Linked DNA regions of Diceros bicornis minor. The protein of the gene in region 1 interacts with the protein of each later gene in a pairwise test. Links are inferred from orthologs where the notes say so. Each region holds a gene or a part of one and is shown on either strand. Other genes may lie near its edges.

Region 1 (8,420 bases):
AGTCTGGGCTCTGCTCCTATTTGGCCTTGGTTCTTTTCCTGGGTCTCCAGTCTCCACATCTGTATAGTGGGGGGATTAGGACCAGGTGATGTCTGAGCTCAGGAGTGTTGCTAGCCTTGAGGGAGACTGTGCGAATACAGGTGGACACAATCTTGTAGCGCACAGCTTAGCAGGAAGATGATACGTTTATGTTAAGAAAAAGGCAGCCTGTACTGGGGCAGACACAACCCATGCCAGAGCTCAGGGCTTGGTGACCAGAGCATGGGAAGGGTCTCAGTGCCCTCCTCCTTGGCTGGGCACCTTTGTGCAGGGCGCATGAGGCACAACCTTGAATTGTGGCTGAGTCTGAGTTGCCAGCGTGGTACTTTCTGGGTCAGTCGCCAAACAGAGGAAGGAAAATGAAAGCAGTCAAGAATTGTGCTGTCTCGTGCTGCCCCCTGGTGGCCACCTTCTGCATAACATTGACAGCTCAGGAAAAGCATCTGAGGGGAGAGGGCCTCCTACCTGCAGAGATCCTGAGACTCAGGAGTCAGGGTCCCAGCCTCAACCCTGAGAAAGGGATCTTGTCGTGAAGCAGCCCCCGTGGACCAGGCCTGGGCCAGGCATTTTAGAGACGAACTTGGGGCACCTGTTTACTATCCGGGCCGGAAGCTTCCAGGGCAGGGGCTGGTCTCATCCCAGTGTCCCCAGTGCCCAGCACAGAGGCTGTGTCTCCCCCATCAGACTATGGCTTACCCTTCTCTCTCTCCCTGTCCCACCTAGTCTAGCTCATTGCCTGGGGAGAGGCGGAGGGGACTCCGACCCGACACCTCACTCCAGCTAGAAGCCCCCATCCCGAGCCTGGAGCTGAGAGTGGGCACATTCTGTGGTCAGCCTGTGGCCTTCTTTCCCAGGCTTCGCAGACAGCGCTGGGCCTCCAGAGAAACAAGGAACTGTACGAGGAGCTTCATTCAGGCCTCGACCCCACCCGAGAGTGACTGGAAAGAAGCTGGTTGGCAGAGAAGAAAACAGAGGATGGGGCTTCCCCCTGCTCTTTGGATAAAGGCCAGATCCCATATAGGTGCTCGCTCCTGCCACCGCCTCCCTCTCATCCCCCGTGCTCCAGCCACCATGGCCCTCTCTTCCTCCTGGGAGTTGGTCCCTTCCTCCACCTCTAAGGTGGCCCATGCAACGTTATCTCTGCTAAGCCACGTCCCACTCGTACTTGAGCTGTGGACTCATTCACTGTCGCTTCTCCTGGACGCTCCCTCCACGCTCGACACCACATTGAGTCCTTCTCTTCTATGCTCTCAATAGATCTTTCTCAGCAATCCCAGGGCTGTGACTCTCAATTCACCTGGGTCGTTACTGGATGAATGCCCACCTCCCCCATGAGGACTATTCTCCCTCCTCCAGTGAACAGGGGCCTCATCTCTCTCATTCACGCTGTAATCTCAGCACCACATAGTGCTGGGCATATAGTGATGCTCAATAAGCATTTGCTGGATGAATGAAAGGTTGAATCAGTCAGTCCTGCCTATAACCGCTTTCTAGATGTGTGACCCTGGACAAGTCTCATTTTCTTGCATTCAGTCAACAAACACTTATTGAGCATCTACTACAAATTGTTCTGGGCACAGGAGTCAAACCCAGATCTGGCTGGCTTCCAATTCTGTTCCCTTACTGCTTATCCAGCTCTGCCTTTCCTGAGAAAACCAATACTGAGGAGATGTTTGAGGCACGAGGTGGGAAACCCCAGTCTGAAGTCTCATCCTCTCCCTCTGGTCCCCCAGACATCATATATGCCAGTCCCCCAGTACCTCAAGCATCCCTCCCTCCATACCCTGGTGCACACAGAGCCCTCCAGCATCTCTGCCTGCCAACGTCCTATTCAACCTTCAAAACCCCATCGCAGGCCGGCCCCGTGGTTAAGTGCGTGCGCTCCGTTACTGGCGGCCCAGGGTTCGGATCCCGGGCGCGCACCGACGCACCGCTTCTCCCGCCATGCTGAGGCCGCGTCCCACATACAGCAACTAGAAGGATGTGAAACTATGACATACAACTATCTACTGGGGCTTTGGGGAAAAAAAGGAGGAGGATTGGCAATAGATGTTAGCTCAGAGCCGGTCTTCCTCAGCAAAAAGAGGAGGATTAGCACGGAGGATGTTAGCTCGGGGCTGATCTTCCTCACACAAAAAAAAAAAACCATCGCAGGGTCACCGTCGCCTTGAAGCCATCCCCACAACCCTTGGCAGAAGCAACTCTCCCCTCACACTTGGCTGGCGTGGGGGTGCACCAGTGTCCACTCTGACCCGAGCTATTGATGCACACGGCTGCCCTCGTGCAGTGCCGTCCCCCTCCCAGGACCGCCTGGGCAGGGACTGGGTCTGACTCATCACTGAACGGCTCCCGTTGATCAATCTTTCCCTGACCAAACCCTGCATCATCTGCTCTCCATGCTCCAGGGCCCAGCCCAGGGCTGGGCACCCGGGGCCAGTAAACGTCCGTTGTTGAACAGAACAAGTAGGGCAGCCACAGGAGTGGGGACTCTGCCCGGATCCCCAAAACCATGACAGGCGAATGAGGTTCGGGGTGTGAAGGGCACTCTCTCCCCTGGTCCCCTCACCCAGCAGCAGCCTCCTCTCTCCTCCCCCCAGTGGATGGATGGGGAGGAGGGTGCTGGGGGAGGGGAATGGGAGGTCACAGGGCAGATGGGCTGTGGGCTGAGCTGAGAAAGGACAGCCTGCCCCTGGGGAAGGACAGCCACATATCTTAGAGCTGTCTGGGAGTCTGGGAACCATCAGCTTCAGCAGAATTCCAAGGACAGGGAAGGTGAATGTGGGCATGCAACAGGGAGCTGCCCACCCTCACATGGTCCAGTCTCAGGTTAGTGCCAGGGCTGGGCTGACAGGCAGGAGACCTGGGTTCTCGTCCCCATTCTGCCATCAATTTGCTGTGTGACCTTGGGCAAGCCCCTGCCCCTCTCTGAGAGCCAATCTCTACAATGAGAGGATTGATTCAGTGTGGAACTGACCAGCATGAATGCTGGAGGCTGGGACAGCCAGAACCACCCCACCTCGCCCAGCCATCTCTCTGAGCTGGTGAGCAAGGGACCCCGTGTGGGGCCGCTGCCCAGCCTCGTCCACCTGTCCCTGTCTTAAGCTGAAGGGGACACAGTAGACTCCTCAGGCATCCTTTCCCCTGTGAGCTGCCCTGTCCTCTCTGCAGGGGTCCCCCTCCCCATCCCCTCTGCCCCCAGAGCTGCCAGGCTGCCAGCTGGGAGCAGCAGCAGCTGTGACCAAGCTTCCTGCGTCATGGTGAGTCAGAGCCCTCCCTCCAGGCCAGAGCCAGTCACTCCACCACGGAAAGAGGAAGGACACTTCTGCTGCCACAACCCCGGGCCACACAGGACAGGCCCCCAGAGCCTGGCCACAGGCAGACTCGTCTTCCTGTTTCCACACAAGGGCAGGCACACAGCTGACACTGTGCAAGGCACCAGGGCATCCATGGTGATCACAGACTGTCCCTTCAGAGCTATCCCCACAGGCCAGACGGGGGGGGGGGGGCGGGGGGGACAGGTCTGAGATGGGCGGGGCATGGGGGTGTCTGAGCACCCTGACCAGACACAGCACTGACTCCAGGACTAGCATGTCTGTCTTGTTCGCAGTGGCGCATAGTAGGTGCTTCATACACGTCCACTGAATGGCGGTTCTTTAGGCTTCCTGTGGGTGTAGGGAAGCTGTGGGGAGGTAATAATACTTCCTACCTGTGTTCACCGTCACTATCAATTATCATTAGCCGTAAGTTAAGTATGTACTATGTGCTGGTCATTTTGCACATATTATCTCATTAATCCTTACAGCAACCCCAGGAGGTGAGATTTTTACCCTGGGTTAACAGATAAAAAAACTGAGCCTCAGAGAGGTGAATCAACTTGCCCCGAGTCACACAGCCTGTGTGAGCTGAGCCCACACTCACACCAGATCTGCTGACACCAGTGGCCAGGGCCACTCTCCACCCAGACTTGACTCCAGAGAGGTGACCAGGCCTGGAGAAAGAGAAAGCGGTCAGCACCCACCCCCAGCCCTGTCCCCCACCCCGCCCCCGGCAGTCCCACCAGGCCCAGATCCTGCCCTGCTGGAGGCCTCCAGCTCTACCCCACGCCCCTGCCTCAAACCTCATCCAGCCTTCCAAACCTTGCCCGGCCGTCACCAGGAGTTTGAAGGGACCAGTGAACCTGGCTTCCTCACCTGTGAAAGGGACACAGTGACACGCGCCCACCTGGGGCACAGGTAGGTGTAAGGATGGAGTGAGACCAAGCAGGTGAAAGTGAGGGCCCCGGAGGGAAGGTTTGCTAAGGCGCTGGTGGGGGAGGGTGTGTAAATGTGAGCGTGTATACATATGAGTCTGTGGGTGTGTGCTAGTGTGTGTGAGTGTGTACAAGTGTGTGGGTGTGCAAGTTGGCATGTGTGGGTGTGTACGCGTGTGAGAGTGTTTGTAGGTACGTGTGTGTGTGAGACTGAGGGTGAGTGATTAGAGCCGGCCACTGTCGCTCCATTAGACAGGAGACCCGGGCTGAGGAAAGGCCCGTGCCTCAGTTTACCTTGCCCTGGATAGGCCCAGAGAGGCCGTCGACCCCCTTCAGGTGCTACGGGAGACTCCTGTCCAGCGCGAGGCCACTAGTACACTATCTCCACCCTCCGTACTCTACCCCGGGCCAGCGTCCCCCAAATGAGGAGCTGACGGTCCAAAGTCGCTGTCCCTCACAGCTAAGGGACCTCAGGCAGGCATCTGACTTCCATGAGCCTCTGCAAAATGGGCGCAGTGGAACTATTGTTACTGCGCTCAGCCGGGTGTCCGGTCGTGGTGGTTGAGTTAACGTTATGTACTTTGTGCCTAAATGCCGGAATCTCCCCGTCCCCACCGCCCCCTTCCCTGACCTTCAGCCCCTGTCACCAGGTGGCGCGGGAGGCCTGAGGGCCGGAAATTGCCCTCCCCACCTTCTGCCCTCCCCGCCACCCCACCCCCTGTCCCCCCCACTCCCTTGCACCCCCCGCCCGGGCTGCCGCAACAGGTGCGCGGGGCTGGCGGCCACGCAGGGGGCAGGGGCAGGGCACTCGGGGCTCGGGGCGCGCGGTCCCCGGGGGCCCCCGCCCGCCGTGCCGCCCGCGGCTGGCAGAGCAGGAGCAGGAGCAGGAGCAGGAGCGAGCGCGGCGCGGGAGGCGGCGGCGCGAAGAGCCGGGCGCGGCGGTGGTGGCGGCCGAGCGAGCGGAGCCGCAGCCCCTTCCCCGCTCCTCCGCGCGCCCCTCCGCCCGCTGCGCCCGCGCGCACCTGAGCCCCAGCCCGCGGAGACATGAGCGCCCAGCGGCCCGACGCACCCGAGGCGCAGCGGCCCGGCCCCGCGGCCCCGTGATGGGCTCCTGCGTGTCGCGAGGTGAGGGGGCCGCCGGCCTGGGGGGGGCGGTGGCCGGGGTCCCCGCGCCCGGGACGCGCGCACGTCCTCTCGACCGCTCTGAGGAAACTAGAGGGGTAGGGGAGCGACCCGCCCCTCCCGGACTAAGCCGCACCCCACCCCACGCCCGCCGAGCCCCAGGGGACGCGGTGCCCCGAGGGGCACAGGGCGCGGGAGACGGGGTGCTGCTTGGAGAGAGAGCGCAGCGAGGTCACCGCATCCCCAGACCCGCTTGGAACCACACCCCAGCTGGTGGCATGAAACAGAGTCCCTTCTTTCCCAACAGCCACACACCCCCTGCCGTGCGTGTGCCTTGGAAGGGAAGGAGGTTTCTGGTTGCCCTTGGCGTCTCTGGCGGGACGTCGGGGGCACCAGAACACAGATTCACACCCCCTCAAGACACAGGCCTCACTAGCTCAACGCTCCCCCACCCCCCACCAGCTCATTCCCTCCTCTTACCCCATGCCCCTGTCTTCAGAGTCCCTGAACCCCATTGGCAGGAAGGGCTTAATGGAGGTGAACAGGTTATAAAGAAAGTTCCCCTTCCCCCACCCTTATCCCCAACTCCTCATCCCCATCGCCATCTGAGGTCAGGGGGTAGGAAGGGAGAGAGACAGCTGATGTTCCCAGTAAGCCCTGGGCCTTTCTCTCTGTCTCTGTGATTTAAAAGCCGCCCTGACCTGGCACACTCTGCTCTTGTCCTGTGCCAAGCCCCACCCCTGTCCCCAGGGTGATGCCCGGGAGCTGGAGTGAGCTGCCCTGGAGGGTGGCGGGGGAGTCTTACACAGAGCCTCGGGGATGGGCAGGTGGATCCAACAGGCCACTGGGCAACATTTTAGAAGAGGTTGGCTGGGCTGTTCTCCCACCTGTCTCTTCACCCCAGAGTGGGATGCGGGGCAGGGCTGGGGGTGGAGGTGACTGGGACATTGGGCTGAGGCTAAACCCACCGACCCAACCTCAGGGCCTTGGGGCCTGCTACCCCACCTGTCTCCCCCAATAGCTTATTCAGGTATAGAGGAATGAACAGGTCTTTGGGAGGAGCTGGGCAGGCCCTGGAGGGGGCCTTGCCCTGGGAGGTGTTGATGAAGGAGCACAACATCCCCCCCACACACACCTGCCCATCCTCTGGCCTCTAAGGGGCTCTGCTCACCGGTCCATGTGGGACATTCAGGTACGTGGCTCAACATGTCTTAGGAGGGTGTCAGGGCTGGGATTGTGGGTGGAGGCTAGACTGTGTGAGGTTCATTCACTTACTCATTCATAAGCTGATATTAGCATGACACCTACTGTGTGCCAGGCACGGTGTAGGCTCTGGGCTTCCAGCGGCGATGAGCCCAGCACAGCGCCTGCTCTCGTGAGGCCTGCAGCCCAGCCAGAGGGGAAGGGAGTTTCAAGAGTGAAGTGTTTAGAGTTCTTTAGGACAGACAGGCTCTCAGTGTGTCTCCAGAAACCCCGAAGGCTCTGGGCAGGCTCCGGGTGTTGGGGATCTGGGATCTGGTGTTTCCTTGGTGACTGTGTCCCTTCCCCATCACTTAGTCATCCCATGCCAGGAACTGGGGGCCCAGCCCCTCATGAACTTGCCTGTGAGCTGCAGACCCGCTGAGCACAGTGCAGAGGCCAGGGAGGAAGAGAAGCCCACCAAGGTCACACTGCGAGGTGGTGTCAGGACTGGGGTGGGGCCCAGGTCCTCTGAACCCCCACCCAGTGCTGGCACCCTCTGCCATGCCTGTTTGAGGTCACACCACCCAAGACGGGCGTTCTCCACCCTTCCTTCTGTGGCTTGGGCTCCCGAGTGCCACCTCCAGATCTGGTTGTATATTCTAACCTTGTCTCCCTCCTGAGAGGGTAGGGCCACTTAGAGCTTAATGTGCATGCAGAGAAATGAGATAAAGATGAAGGTATAGGGCTGCTTGAGCAGAGGACACCGTCGTCCCGTGAACCCCCGAGTGGAGGCCGTCCACCCCTCTGTCACTAATAGTCTCAGCGTACTTATGGCTTACCAGGTACTGGTTGGAACCTTTTGGGCACAACTAGTTAATTTGGGGTACATACTATCACAGTCCCCATTGTACAAATGGGGAAACTGAGCAGAGGGGAGTTGAGTGACTTGGCGGGGCCACATGGCTAAGAAATAGCAGAGGCGGGACTGGAACCCAGTCTCGCGGACTCCAGAGCCTGGGCCCTCGGCCTCTGCCCGGCACAGCCCGCCCTCAGCCCGGGTGCCAGCTCCTGTCCTGCTCCTCCCCAGCTGCAGGCTTCCGTGAGCTTCTGAGCCCCACACCTGGCCTCCACACCTGCACCAACTGCTAATAGCAGCCCCCTTAGTCCACGCGTGTCCTTGGGCCAGGGACGCAGCCTGCAGCCAGGCCAGGGGTTGGAGCCTCATGCTGATGCCTATATGGAGCCCGGAGCCTGCATGCAGCTGAGGTCACCCCAGCCAAACCTCAAACCCCAGGTCCAGGCCACACCTGGGAGAGCCAGCCCATGCCAGCATCGGGCAGCAGTTGCTTCTCCGTGCCAGGCCAGAGAGATCAGGAGTGCAGCCTGGAGCCGGCCAGCCCAGGTTCGCATCCCTGCTCCACCATTCTCTGCCTCTGAGACCTCAGGAAGTAATGTAACTTTGTGTATGTATCTCAGTGTTCTAATCTCTAAAATGGGAGTAATGCCAGTATTGATGTCCTAGGGTTGCTGGGAGGGGATTAAATGACCTAATCCATGTAAAGCCCTCTGATCAGTACCTAGCATGTAGTAAGCACTCATAAGTGTCAGCTATGACTTTCATTTTTAATTTTTATCCTTACCTCCTGTGCAGACAGCTAGTTGAGACCCTCTTGGCTGGGAAAGGGGAAGCTACAGAGGCTTCAAGCGCCATCCTGCCTCGTGGAGAAAGAACGGACGGCAGGCACTCGAGATGCTGAGGACATGGGGAAGGTGGTGGGGCCCAGATTAAGGCAACAAGCGCTGTTTCCAGGAGCTGTTTTGTGTTCAT
Region 2 (8,110 bases), on another chromosome or scaffold:
TTGTTACTAAACACCACCTAATTATGTGAGCATTTTTTTTCTTTTTAAAAAATCAGTACAATCTGCCCTCCTAGAGACTGTGGTACAGGTACTAAACCTACAGGCTGAAAAAAATCAAAGATCATCAATGGTCACTCTTTCTCTTCTTGAACCTCCTCAGATGGTAAAATGAACTTTAAAGGAAGAATATGATAAGAACACTAAAAAATGAGGGATCCCACTCTTTCTTTCCTCCTTCTGGCTGTAGGTGAAAATATAAACTCAGTTGTGAAAATCTTTTGGCAAAGGATGCGGGTTTTGTGTTGGTTGTCTCAGAGGGGGTATAGAATTCATTGTTTTTATTTTCCCTTAAATTTTATGCTAAGATTCTCTAAGTTTGAGAGTTTCATTAAAAATTCAAGGGAACTATATTAAGGAAAATAGAGGTTGAAGGGAGAAACAAGTCAGTAAAATCTACTTTAGGCAAGAAGGGCTTTAGAAGACCCTTCAGGATCAGATGATCTCCAGAGTAGCACAGAAGTTCCAGAACATGAGTCCATGATTATATTTATAGTAGCTATTCACACAACTAAACCAGAGTAAAGCCTAGCATAAGGGACTCCTTAAAAAGTCATTGAAGAAAAGAAATAGGGGTCATATATAGTCCAATTCTGCTATCATCATTTCTTCTGTGTTGTCACTAACAATAGTGGTGAAAATTTCCAACTTAAGAGCACTGTTATGAATCTATAGGTTAGGCCCAAATGTAGAAGAGAGAAGGGAATAAAGCATTTCCTGTTCTTGAGGCTGCAGACCACCCGCATTTGCTATGAACATTTCTGAGACTCCAAGACTTCCAGGAAATTCAAAATTTTGACAATAATTCACTCAGCAGGGACTTAAGAAACTTTTACTGTAGATTGTTCAAATTGTAAGGGAAATTGGTAACTCAGCTAAAAGTGATCTTTCAAACTGAATTTAGATCCAGTCATGGATTACAGAGATAAATCAGTAGTGGACTAGGAGAAATGATTAACTGAGTCCATTAAAACTCAGACTTTTAATCCCTCCTCTGTTTGGAGAGCCAGGGAGCTCTCCCTGTAAGTGCCCGGGAATCACTCCTTCATGGTCCTGCATTTTTCCACTTATTTTAGAAAAATATGTAGAAGGAGTATAAACATACACAACAAAATACTTTATTCATCAGAAAAACTGCTGCATGGTTTTATTCAAGGTGATAACTTTCTGTTTGACTTTAGGGAAGTTATTTTGTTTGTCTATCTACATGTTTTTTAAAATAGGATAAAAAAATCAGGATAAACATAATTATCTTACATAATGCGTCTCCTCTGTAAGGATTAATACTTAGCTTTTTGAAATAAAAGCACTTTACCCATACAAGAAAATTACTATCATTATTCTTTATGAATTTAAATGAGTATAAATCCGTTTTTCCAATTCCTGTCTCTTTTCATTTTATAATGTTGACTTTCAAACACTTAATTTTTCTTCCAATTTCCTAAATGCCCCCATGCCTTAAGTTCCACCCTTCTTGGCTCATATAATTTATACACAGCATGTCTAATAAATAATATTACCATAAGCTCACAGGACCACAAGCTTAGACCTGTTATAGTACTGGCACTTTGCATTTTACTGTCATTCTCGGTTGTCAACTTGTCCATGCCACAATTAAAGTGGATGGAGATATTAAATGAAATTGTGTACACCTAAAAGCCATTCTTGGTTTTATTTTGTTGGTTTGTTTGAATCTGGGAAGGAGTGAGGTGGAAGTAAGGAAAGAATATAATTTGCCACTGAGGAAAGGAAAATGGCTCCTCAGTTGCTTCTGGGCAACTGAGGACCCTACCAGGTACTGCAGAAAAAACAACCCCCTCCCTATAGCACCCTCCTCCCTTCCCTTCCCCACGTCCAGACTTACCGCCCCCCCCTCCACGCCCCAAAATCTCCAGGTGTGAAAGCTGACACCGCGGTCAGTGCGCAGTATTGGGGACGTGGTTTTAAGTAATGGGACAACTGCCACAGCTGATGGCATTCTTCACTCAACACGGAGCAGGGTTCCGGTCCCTCTACCCCAGGGCGCATAGCAGTGCAGCGCCGCGCGTCTCTGCTCTTCTGTGCTCACCAGTGAGACCTGCAAATGACTGAAGGAGGAAAGAAACCGAGGGCTCCCTATTTTTTAAATTGTCCCTACTACATTCTACTTCATTCTGCTATCCTAAAGAGGGAAACTGCTTTTTATAATTTAAACGATAACATTCCTTCGGTGTCTTTTAGAATTGGCTTCCCTGCTTTGACTTCGTGCTGCACATAAAACTAGACTAAAGGGTAACTCAAAAATAACTTTTTTAACAACAAAATATTAGAGCTTAAAAAGATAAAGCTACATAATAGCTGGAGATTAAAAATTAAGATATTGCATTAGGGACGCCAAATAACGCTTCAGTGCAAATACAACCAAAAAAACAAAACAAAACAAAACAAAAACAAAAACAAAAAACCTGACTGTCCAATTAGACAAAGCTGCTTTACAAAAGCGCACACACTTAAATCAAATCTCCCCTACAACAAAACATGGTTTAAAGTATCAGTGTTCCTTTTTTCCTAAACACAAGCTGAAAGTAAGTTATCTAAAACCGACTATTGACACGAAAGAGACCTCCAGGGCGCGAGAAATATGTACATCTTTTCGAAGCGGAGAAATGGCACCACGACCCCTTCGGTCGATGCAGATTGCAGTGCGGAGACTGTTCTCGAGAGAGAAACCAGAGAGCCCAGCGTAAAATGCTTTAGCAGGGGAAATCGACAAAAGAGGGGAAATTACTTTGAAAGCTTTGGAGGTTGTCTCCATGGCCAACAAAAGCGACTTATGCAGAACTGACTTTTGCCCCCACCCCATCCCGAGAAACAGAAAGAATCCATCTGGCGAGCCCCGCTGCGCAGTGCGCACTGCAGCCCGGAGCGCAGGGCTGACTCCCGCCAGACTCGAAACCTGCTCCCGCTGCCACAGCGCACCCGGGCCGCGCGCCCTGCTCCGTGCGGCTCCGCGCTCCGGGTTTCCGCGGTCACCAGCACCGGGTGAAGAAGCACACCGGGAGGGCACTTCGGTGAGCACTGTCCCGGGAGTCCCGAGAGCGTTCTCCGCCTCTATGCAACCTTTGGGAGGCGTCTGGCCCAGAAAAGCGCATTCCTGGGCTCTGGGCCGGCAGGTTTGACACTGAGCGTAAGGCCGCGGCTTAGGCGTCACCGCCCAAGGCCCTCACCTAGCACGAGCCTTCAGTCGCTGGAGACTCATCGAGCAGAGTTTCTCTTGGTCTTACCTCACATTCTTCCATGCTGGATTCCCCCACTTGCAGCCGGGAGCAGCTCCCTCCTGGGAACGGACATTTGTCAATCTAGAGCGCTTTTGCCACGGGAGATGCTCTTGGTGTCCTCAGAACAGAAAGGTGTTAACTGAAGTTTTCCTGAATGTAATAAGGTGTGTGAAAGCGCTTTGCAAATTGTAAAGCTCTCTGCTTAAGGAGAAAGACAATCTTCACTGTGCCTCCAGAACTTCCCTTCCTTGAAAATAATTCAATTCCCACCTGAATGTAAACCTCGGAAGGGGTTTTGTTCATTGCATTATCCCCAAGGCATAAAACAGTGCCTACTAGTCAGTAGGCAGGTGGTCAATGAATAATGAATGTACAAACATACACACTTGAGGAAACTGATCAGGTAGGGAACATTCGGGAAATTTCCTTTGTTTTCCTGGTAGGGAAACGTCCAACATTCACTGGGCACTACTCCTTGCCAAGTCTTCTAGGCGTTGGCAGGCCAGTGGGGAGTGGGGGAGGTGGCAAACGTATGAGTCCTTCAAGGACGCAAAAGGGGGCTTGGTGCTGCAACTGCCTAGATTCTAAGGTTGGTTCATTCTCTCCTCTCCACCCCCGCCCCCCAAAAGCATATTCAATAAACATTGATTAAGTGTATACAAAATGTGCTTATTAAACGTTTGTTGATGGTTAGCATGATCTGCCCAAGGTCACACAGGGCAAGAAGCTTAGGACTCAGTTCCCTTCAACACATATTTCTCCAACGCCACTCTGAACCAAGACTATCCCGGGCACTGGGGTACCAGGGAGCCTGGCTCTCAGGTCCTAGCATCAGGCCCTCTGATGAAACGGCGGCCCAAGGCAAAATGCCCACCATCAGTGTTCCCTCACAGTGAGCAGGGTAGTACGCTCACAGCTTGCTGGGAACGCTTCCTTCCAAGAAGGGATTTCTGCATTTTTCTCCTTCACTTTACAGCCTGACAAAGGATGGGCCGGGACCCCTCTAGGGCTGACGGCGGCGGGAAAAGCAGGCTCCACGTGTCCCATCTCTGGCCTCAGCCTTCATCACCAGACTAGGTAACCACGGAGCTTGGTGAGCCTAGCTCTCCCTTCCTTGCGCCTGTCCAGGTGCAGTCTGCTCTGGTAGCCAGGCTCCCTTTTCCTATCTACTTTTCTTTTGAGTTTCTGCTAAAATCTGGAGACGTGGAATCCACCCGCGGGAACTCCGAGCCCCTCCAACTGAGCATGCGCCAATGCCAGGCTCCTTTTGGTCACTGGCTCCAGAGCTCTCCAAGCTGGGGCTGCGGAGCTGGAGGCGGAGGGAGGAGGCGACAGGGGAGGGGGGTGCCTGGAGAGGCGGCGGCTCGCGCGCCTGCGCATCCAGCTCCAGGGTCCCTAGGTTTTGTATGGGGTTCCCAATCCGCAGCAGAGACTTACCGAAGCGTGTTGCGGCGGCGGCTGGGCTTGCAAGGCGCGATCCAAGAGGAATTTAAGCAGCCTAGAGCCCCAGAGAAAAAAAGAGCGCGAGAGAACCACACACAGAGACGGCTTAACCGTTTACCCGAATTAAATATATATATAAAGAACTGTTGAGTTTTATCATTTTCGTTAAGTGACCGTGCGCAGCGCTATAACTGTAAGTGGAAAATACAATCTTCGTTGCATTTCTGCATGTAGTACAGCCAATTGTCGGGGAGATGCTTTGGCTATTGTCACATACTTTGCATAGATGCGTCTAAATGCATGGTGACAATTGTTTTGGTTAATGCTGGTGATCTGAATGTGCTGTTAGTCCGCAGGGGACCTCTTGGAATAATGGGGTGGGGGAAGGGGGAGTGTTTATATGCGGCGTGTGTGGGAGATTGTCTTAGGCAAGATTTAAGATACGTGAAACAGAGGTGCTTTTTTAGTTTGTCTATAAATAGGCAGATTTCCTTACAAGATTTAAGTAGCTAACTGACCGATTGTGAAGTTTTCCGGTTGCTGATAAAACTATTGAGCGGTTCCAGTCAAGTACCAACCCGTCATCCGTGGGGTTGGGGCACCATTTTTCTCACTGTGGAAGAGCCGTGAAGGTGTTTGCTAAGTAAAACTGAATGGACGAGGTGGTGTGGAAATCAGGGTTGATTTCAAAGTGGGATGTTAGTGTTCGGAACCACAGAGCGAGGTGCAAAATAAGCACGTTTCTCTCTTAGTATTTAAAAATGAGTAGATAATTTTTCGGTTTTGTTTTTTCGTCACGATGGTGAATGGGCAGAAAAAAGGAAAGATGTTTAACCTCACAGTCAGCCGTCTATTTTGAACGGAGTCTGAGACTCAGAGTCGCTGAATGAAGACTGTCAGACCCGAACTAGTTCCCTGCTTTTGCATCCGGTATTCTCATTCCGGAATGCAGGGTTGAGAAATGTAAACCCAGATGTGTTACATTTGGTAATGTTTCTTTAAAGGAGAAAAGGTCCTTTTGTGTTTTGAGTTAAAATGGGTTGTTCCTTGCCGAGAAATAGAAGAAGGGACTTTGCAAGGTCAAACCCCCTCAGGGGTGCTGGTGAATTGGGGTTGGGGGGAAATGGTGATGATCCATGTGAGTGCTCAGCACTGCATGGATCAGCACCCTGGGAGATGCAAGAGTGGGAATCCATTTTTCTAGAGTTGCCCTCCTGTTCATATTCTGGAGACTAAAATGAAATGGAAATGCTAGTGGGTGTAGAAAATACAAGTGTATACTATCTGTGTGTCACATCTCACTTGAAGACAAGAGGAGCAAGGGAGTTGTATGTCTACATATTAATTTTTTTAATTTAAAGGAATTTCAGGTTGACACAAATTACAAATGAAACCCTTGTGAAAACACGTTTTATCTCCACTACCATTTAAACTGCCTACATGTGTGTGTGTTTGTGGGGGGAGGTCCTGCATCACTGAACACCTCACCCATAAGTGCACTCTCATTCAGCTTGGATATTTAATAACTCCAGAAAATGCTGCACTGAAGCAGGTTGGCAGAATGGCATGAGGCAGACAGACAAGAGAAGAGCATGGCCAGTGTGTGCTGGATTTCCATGGAAAAAGCAGCTCCAATTTCTGGGATGAATTGAAATAAACTTTCCCCAAATAGGGCAGATTATTATAGGACTCTTTGGCCCTTCAGTCAGTCCCACTATTTGGAATCTTTCAAAAGAATTTATAATTTATTTAAATAGATGGAATTTCAAATAGAAAATTCGAGACTAGCCTCTCCTTGGAAACTCAAAGTGTAAATCACACTGCCCTCTCTGTTCCTCCCTTCCTTACTCCAGGGCGGAAAGACCAATCATTTGTCGTAATTGAGCCATACTCCTTGTCATCACTGAGAGTTGGAGTCAGCTCCCTGAATGGTGCAGGTGTTGCCCTGCATTGATACATGGGTGATACATGGGAGGAAGAAGCGGGAAGCTGGTATTAAAGCTCATATCAGAGAAGTTTGCTCTGGGATACCCTGATTCATAGGCTGACAGTTACAGAGGGTCACTTCCGGCAGACACCTTCAAAAGCATCTAATCCAAACCGCTTGTTTTACAAATGAGGAAACTGAGGCCCAGAGCCATGGAGCTAGGGAAAAGTCAATTAACTTCTAGTCTATGGAATAAGCAATTAAAAAGTAATGTCGAGTGGAAATGTTCCCTTCTCTCTGCACATTTAGCACCCTCAGTGACATTGTTGAAATCTTCAAATAAATAATTGCCTGCTCCCCAGCACACCTTTCTAAGTGTCCCAAGGGTTCCTTTTCACATCGTTACACTTCCCCGCCTCTCCTGTTTTGTAAGGTTTCTTTCTTTCTCCTTGCCATTGCCCCTCACCTCTAATATACCCACCTCATTAGATGTTTAGTCTGGCCTTCCTGGCCTCCCCTGCATCTCAGTCAATTTCTTTGGGATCCTTGGAGTTTTTTTGAGAAAACAGGGAAACCAGTTGGAATCGTCAGCTCCTCTTTGAGGACTGCCCAGGCTCATCCCTATCCGCTCTCTGCTCTATTTCCCAGAATCCTTCAGGGAATCCAGCCTTCAGAGACACTGCAGGCTCCATCCTCACTCTTTTCCCTGTGTTGCCTCCTTCAAAACTGCTGCAGCTGGAGGGATTGGGACCCAGCAGAGTGAGGAAGCTGCAGTGTAAACACACAGTGGGCTCTGCCAGCTCTCCTCTGGCTCCTAGAAGGCAGAACCCAAATCCAAGATGCTTAACTGTCTGCAGCCTTCATGGAAATCCTCCAGATGAAGCCACCTGCAGGGGAAGGGGGGAGGAGGGGAGACTGAAGAAGAATGCTCCTCTGGTTCAATCTGAAGCAGGCGCTATAGAGGAGAGCAGTGCAGCTTTTTAAAACCTTGAGAGATTTTAAAGCATGTGCACAGCTCTTCTTGCTGGACAGAGACTGCAAAGCAGGCAATAATACCTGCCTAATTGCCCTTCTTCTCTTTCCTCCTTTTTTTCTCCTTTCCACTCACTTGCTTTCCCTATTTCTCCCTCATTTTCTCCCTTCCCTAAAAATTTCCCAAGTGCTTATACGATAAAGCTCTAGCCCTTTTTAAGATAATCCAGGCCCTCCTGTTCCTTCACCAAAAATGTAATCTCCCAGGCACTCAGAAAGATAACCAAGACCGCCTCAAATGTCCCCTCTGGGAAAATGCCAGGAATTCTTACCTGAAAAAGCTGGGGTACTAGGGGATGCCTGAGGAAGACAGAATCTGGGTCTCTTGCTCGTTTGAAAGATTAGCTAAATATCCTTGGAAGTTGTTGAGGAAGCTGAGGGAGCAAACTGGTGA

What was found.
Region 2: the proteins of FAM131C (region 1) and VSNL1 interact in binary tests that used the Homo sapiens proteins (3 or more experiments, as listed by UniProt). The two-hybrid records come from large-scale screens. The link is inferred for Diceros bicornis minor from reciprocal best matches to the Homo sapiens genes FAM131C and VSNL1.

Annotation. Positions count from the first base shown.
Region 1 is NC_080752.1:34,029,496-34,037,915, reverse strand, and holds the start of FAM131C (protein FAM131C), read left to right. Parts: upstream 1-5,144; 5' UTR 5,145-5,391; coding exon 5,392-5,413; intron 5,414-8,420.
Region 2 is NC_080751.1:63,878,186-63,886,295, reverse strand, and holds the start of VSNL1 (visinin-like protein 1), read left to right. Parts: upstream 1-4,755; 5' UTR 4,756-4,950; intron 4,951-8,110.